Nothobranchius furzeri: one gene and its partner. The protein of the gene in region 1 interacts with the protein of each later gene in a pairwise test. Links are inferred from orthologs where the notes say so. Each region holds a gene or a part of one and is shown on either strand. Other genes may lie near its edges. The genes, in order: tsnax and gadd45ga.

Region 1 (2,655 bases):
ACCTTAGTTAAGGCCAATCTGAAAAGTACTCAAAATTCAGTCTGGAGTAAATCTAACACTAAAATATCATAGCTAGTCAGACATGGTGGTGGTAGTGTGATGGTGTGGGGCTGGACCTGGACCACTTGCTGTAACTGACTGAACCTTAAGTTCTGCTCTCTAGCAGAACATCTTGAAGGTATGACCTTTAACCTTAAACAGGCTGCTCAAAATGGAAAACCCTCCAAGTTTAGTAACGATTAGTAAATTGCGCCGTGCTGATGTCAGACGCTCGTTACCGTTATCACAAACCGCTGCAGAGGGAGGAGGGTTTAACGAGGATAGAAGCTACGAAGCAGGGGGGTTGTTTTTTGAGTGTGGGCCTGTTGATGTACAAAGGTTGCATGCTCGTGGTCTCAGACTGCAGCAGGAGCCGGCAGCCAATAGTTTCACCGTGGATTACCTGTGTGTGTTATGGAGGGAGGGAGAGACGGGCAGAGAGAACACACACAATCCAAACATTTTAAAGTTTGGCACAGAACTTTTATTCATGCAACACAACTGCAGTAATCAGATTATTATGAAAAAAAACTTCTATTGTAACAACGCTACTGTAGTAAAAACGAAAAATGGAGTAACGCTAACCCTAAAACAACAAAACGCACTAGTGAAGCGTGTGGAGCTACACTACTCCCTCCTCTGTGTCCATGTGGGTGGTTCTGCTGCAGAACAAATCAGCCAGCATGTGCTTGGGGATCTCAGAGCCGCGGACGTGCAGGGTGTAGCACGCATCCTCCACCTTCCCCAGGCTCTGGCGAAGCGTGTGCAGCTTTTTGGAGACCTCGTATGGACCCGTGTTCCCGATGTAGGAGAAACCGTCGTGGATCTGCCTCAGGAACTGGCTCAGCTGGAAGGGAGTCTCTATATCGCCGTTGCCCACGCTGCTGATGCACATGCGCATTAGCTCCCCCGTCAGATCGGCCACGCCCAGCAGGTAGTCCGCTGGCGTCACCTGGAAAGTCAGAACGTGAGTTCCTCGCGGTGCAGCTTCAGCAGAACCCTGAAGGGAAAACACAGAAAGATAAATTAGTTTTTCTCAGAGGCTAGACAACTCCAGGACGAGGTTTTCTTTAGGCACACCTTCGGATCCGCCTTCTCTGTCCCCATGAACACCAGCCTGGCGTTGATCTCCTCCAGGCTGATGAGGCTGCGATGACGGATGTAGTGCAGGAAAGAGACGGCCTCCACATATTCTTGAATTCCTGAAATGTGAAACTCCATTAGAGTAAAATCACATTAAAAAGCTGTTTCATCTTTAAAGCTGCTACCAAAAACACAGATCGTGCATTTGTCCTCAAAAAACAAAACAAAATACAACCATGTATGATGAGCTTTAAACGCTACCTGAAAACAATCCCTCAAAAAGAAACCTTTTCCTGTTTCTGTTGCTTTGTAGAAGAGCAGTGTGTGTGTGTGCGCGTGTGTGTGCGCGCGAGCATGTGTGTGTCATGCTACGACGACCCCTCATTTGTTTCCAGCTCCTGAGTAAACAATAATCAAATAATCACAGGACGGAAGCGGTCGTGTCTGAAGTTTACTTTTGGAGCTGGAGCTGGACTTGAAAGGGCCGGTTCTGGTATGTCCCTGGTCCCAAGGTGCTGCAGAGCACTGTAGGAAGCATTATCTCCACTTCTCTCCTGATTATCTGTCACTTAGGAGTCTCCTTTTAGCACGTACTCGAGTCAAAACAAACGAAACTAACAACTACGCTCAAAAAGGTCGACCCAATTAGACCTTTTAAAATGAAACCTAACTGGTTTTCTAATCTAAACACCAGAGACTGATGTTTGTTTACTTTGATAGTTTTGCTCATTATGAATTATTCCCCACTGTTTAGATTAATTAGCTCATTCAGTATGTCATGATTAAAGGTAGCTATTTTCCCCAAAAAATGAATAATTTTAATGACCTCTGAAATGTAGAATCCTGAAAAACCTCATCCAATCACTGTGAACATCACGTTCTTCATTAATGGATCCTGATCCATCAATCAAACTGCCCTTTGGCGTCCCTCCCCTCTCTGCACACACCTCTCTATGTGCATGAATCGTGTGTTCTCGACCTGGAGCAGCTGAACAGGAAGTGAAGCCAGAGTACGCTGCCTAGTGTAACAGACTGAATGTTCCATTACGTTTGCAAATTGTTTCACATCGTTTGTACATTCGTTATGTGTGATCCGTCAAATTCCATTGCTTGGAAGGATGTCCTCTGCTGCCCGCAGATAAAAGGAGAAGGAAGTGACGCCTAACCAGTGGTGGTGCTCTGAGGAAGCTACAGTGTTAGCCGAAACTTGTCAGCTTAAAATGTAAAAACAAATCTTTTCTAAAATGTTTTTAGAAAAGAACCAAGCAATGGAAACGTTTCACGTGTTCCATTTAGAGTTTGGTTCTGTTCTTGTTGGGAAACATTTAGGTGACGGACCTGTCGTCTAAGAACACAGCCTGTACTCTGTCGGCTGGTGGAGTCACCAGTTAGTTGCCTCTGCAACAGCTGGGTTCTGGATGTCTTTACCTGTTATTTGCACAATTGTCTCTATGTGTTTGCAAATATGTCTAATAGAATAAGTCTATTCTATTCTATATGTCCGGCCATATAAAAGAACATGTTGATAAAGTG
Region 2 (3,702 bases), on another chromosome or scaffold:
CTGTGTGCTCGTGCAGCAGGCTGTGGCCAGCGGCTGGCTTGAGAGTGAGGTCCCCTGCCAAGAAAATCAAACAGAGCTTCTCTGAAGTCTGCTATCTCTCTGATGTGGGCCACCTATTACTGTCAGTTTCTGCTCTGGACCGACCGCAACACACTCACACACACACACACACACACACTGACATGCATGCACTTCTTCCCCTCAGTGACCCTCATTCTCTTACAGCTCTGTGCAGATTCTCTCTCTTTCACACACACGTGCTTGCTTCTGGGGGTCTATAAACATGTTCACTGCCTGCTGCATGACATCTTTTTCACCTTTATTGTTGCGTGGTGTCTAATGTGGTTTGTGGTGCATGTGTGCGGTTAAAGGTCAATACCTGGAAACAGTGCTTTCAGCCATGTTTTAATGTTGATCGCTACTTTCCTTCCGCCTAAATTTTCCCTTTTCTTCTGAAACTGAACCAGTAACACTTCCTGACGCTCTCTGCATCCTCACAATCGGTTGCATGTCAGCTCGCCTCAAGAGAAGAAACTTAAAGAACTTGAAAAGGAGCAGGAGTTTTGATTCTACATGTTTATTCACAAAGCATTTCAGTACAATTCAAACGGATGTTGCGTTCTTCAGTATGCACATTCAACAATAATGATAGTGTGTAAAGAAGTCCACAAGAGTCTCACAGCTCTTATCAGGATTTGCAAGCAAAGTCTCTGCTTATTCCAAGAAGTTCCTGATAGCTGCGCTCAAAAAGAAAGATTCCACTTTGACACTTTCATCTTCTGAACCGGAACTGTTCCTTTGTAGTGAGATCCAGTCGGTCTCCACTTTCAGAATTCCACTGCACCTCTCCCCGCTGCTCAGCTCCACACATGGGGGCAGCACAGGGTCACCATCCAGCACAGTCCACCTCCTCCTCAGTGTCCATAAAGCGTTGTGCCATTTGACTCAGTCGACACTGATCTCAGAACTTCAGCCCCATCATCACAGGGGGATGGGGGTGATCCAGAACCAACTCGCCGACCCAGAACGCTCTGGAAGGGTTGCAGACTGGGGATGCAGCCAGAGCCTCTTAATCCAGACGCACACGGCTCCTCGAGTCGCTCAGCTGAAGGTCAACTTCTTGACTTTCTTTTTCACGATCCTCATCAGCAGCGTTTTGGTGTGACGTCACCTCAGCGCTCTGGCAGGGTTATGGTGGGCACCCAGTCGTATGCACTGCGGCTTTCCTCGCAGAACAGACTCAGCTTGTCCAGAGCAGGGTCTTTCCATGGGTTTGCACTGGGGCTCTGAAATGAACAAAACAAAAAACGGTTTAGAGCCACCTTCAGACACAAGAGTCCGACCAAAAGAGTCATGCACGCATGAGTCACTGGCTGCAAGCTTCTGGGTTTTACGCACCGTGACAAGAATGCAGTGCGCGTCCTTGGGCTCGCCGCTCTCGTCTGCACCCACGAGGTCCGCCAGGCGCTCGATGTCATTCACGCGCACCACGTTGATGTCATTATCGAAGCAGAAAGCCTGGATGAGGGTGAAGTGGATCTGAAGCGCAATGTCACACTCGTACTCCTCATCCGTGGCGAGGACACAGAATGCCACGCTGTCTGGGTCACTGTGGAGGAGGAGGAGGGAGGCCGATCAGATGATACCCCGTCACACTTGATTGGCAGCAAACGTGCAAAAGCGGTGGGAAAAGTCGCGATACTCACACATTCATGACTTTAGCAGACTCGTAAACTCCGACGGTCAGGAAGTCCTGCTGCTTAGCAGCGACCAGCAGCTCCTCCAGGGCTGCGCCTGCACTTTGCACTCTTAACAAAGACAAAAGCATCTCGTCAGGACCGGGCGTTCAAATGAAACCGTTTCAATATTCCTGCCTTTTAAGTAACATTTTAAAAAGAGGCGAGAGATATTTACCTATCAGCGTTTTCCATGGTGTTCTCTTGTCCGCGGATCTCTTCCAGAGTCATAGCGATAAAGATCCAAGCGCTCGGTGAAGAGAGAAAATGAGCCGTGTGTGCTGTGTCTGCGTCTCCGGCGTTATTCTGGTCTCTGACGCGGCTGGAGGTGGCTTTAAAGGCTGGCTGGCGTCGTTTCTCGGCAAGGGGCGGGTCTTTCTGCTCCTGACTCCAACGATTGGCTGGAAGCAGTACAACAAAAGTCCCCGGACCACTTTGAGCTGTTGACAACCCCACGTGGGGCAAGATTTCACCGTTTCAAGAAATCCCCCTCACCCCCACCGACCCCTCCTTGTCTTGTCAACATCCAACATCACCACAATGTACAAAAACTACAAGTCCTGGTTGCGGTGGCCACAGTAAGTCACAGGACAGTCACTGATGTGTCCTTTGACTGATTTGTTTTTGGGATTGCACGCTATTGATTTAAATGTTATTTACACTCCCGTCTACCAGGAATCCTGCTTTCTTTGTGTGAGTTTTATTTATAACGAGCCAACATTGCGCAGCATGAAATGATCGAACACGAAACAACACAATTAAACAAATGATGAACATCATCGCTTTCCCAGCGTTGGGAATCACTGGGAAGTTTGATTTAATTGCCTTTCCCTTTAATAAACCAGCGCGCGCGCGCGCGCGAGCTCAATCCTGTTACTCAACCCGCTCCTTTCTCTGTTTACAGCTGCAGAACAACCCCGTTCTGTTCCGAGGAGCTCGCTCTGACTCTATCAGTTACATAAATACTTCTTGAAGTGTCCAGAAGAAGGGGGACGCAGTAATCTGTGGCCGGGCACGCGCCACTTATTTTGTTCGCTCGTTGAAAGCGACGCCGCGGGACGCGTGTCGTCTCCCTCTGGAGACAAAGCCAGGCTCACGCAACGATCCACCTGCCCGGCATGTCAGCGTGTTGTGTGAGTGCGTGCACGCGCTCTTTGTGCGACCACGCGCTATCTTTATTGCCATTAAGTGACCACCCGCAGCAGATGTTCGACAGATGTGCCCGAGCCCCTCCTAAAAAAGAATAATTACAAAGGAACGCCACGTGCCGCAGCCGGTAGCATTTCTTGACCATTTTATCTTATCGGTGTTTGCATTCAACATCATAAGCAGATGCTGTTTTGTTCAGAAAGGGGCACTTGGTCCTGTCTATTATCTACAATAGCAGCAGTTATTTATTATTATTATTATTAATAACTGAAGTATCATGTGTGAGTAATTCAAATTTAGAGGGGTAAAAAACAAGATTTTAACCTTTAAATCTCTCTGTGAGGGGAAGTGCATCTAACAAAAATATAAAGCTACTTGATCCCCAGAAAATTTGGGAAAGATGTGTTTTGTTCCATCTGGTGTGTCACCAATACTGCATTAAAGCAGGGGCAGTTCTAGAAGGGGTCCAGGGTGGGCCAGTGCCAAATCCCCCCCCCCCCCCCCCCCCGCGCTAATGGCAGAACACGCAGTCATAAGAACTTGTTTTTCTGTGATAATGTAGCGTAATGTGATATGTGGAACCAAAGCATATGAATGCATTTACATGAAGTTAAAAAGAAATGTGGAGAAAAACACTTTCCTGTGAGATACGTAACTAAGATCTCAACATACTTTTTCTGCAAAATAGCTACATTTTGAAACGTGTTGTGCCCACAGCAACCGTAGCTGAACTCTTATTAAATGTTTGCAATTAAATACTGAAGTTTGAAACACCCAAAAACAATTGTTTTCATGTTTTCTTACAAATGTGTGTCTC

What was found.
Region 2: the proteins of tsnax (region 1) and gadd45ga interact in binary tests that used the Homo sapiens proteins (3 or more experiments, as listed by UniProt). The two-hybrid records come from large-scale screens. The link is inferred for Nothobranchius furzeri from reciprocal best matches to the Homo sapiens genes TSNAX and GADD45G.

The regions. Positions count from the first base shown.
Region 1 is NC_091752.1:2,307,019-2,309,673, reverse strand, and holds the end of tsnax (translin-associated protein X), read right to left. Parts: intron 1,242-2,655; coding exon 1,120-1,241; intron 1,040-1,119; coding exon 662-1,039; 3' UTR 501-661; downstream 1-500.
Region 2 is NC_091757.1:52,117,722-52,121,423, reverse strand, and holds gadd45ga (growth arrest and DNA-damage-inducible, gamma a), read right to left. Parts: upstream 2,183-3,702; 5' UTR 1,968-2,182; coding exon 1,915-1,967; intron 1,809-1,914; coding exon 1,707-1,808; intron 1,610-1,706; coding exon 1,399-1,609; intron 1,287-1,398; coding exon 1,173-1,286; 3' UTR 562-1,172; downstream 1-561. UniProt on the Homo sapiens protein: Involved in the regulation of growth and apoptosis. Mediates activation of stress-responsive MTK1/MEKK4 MAPKKK.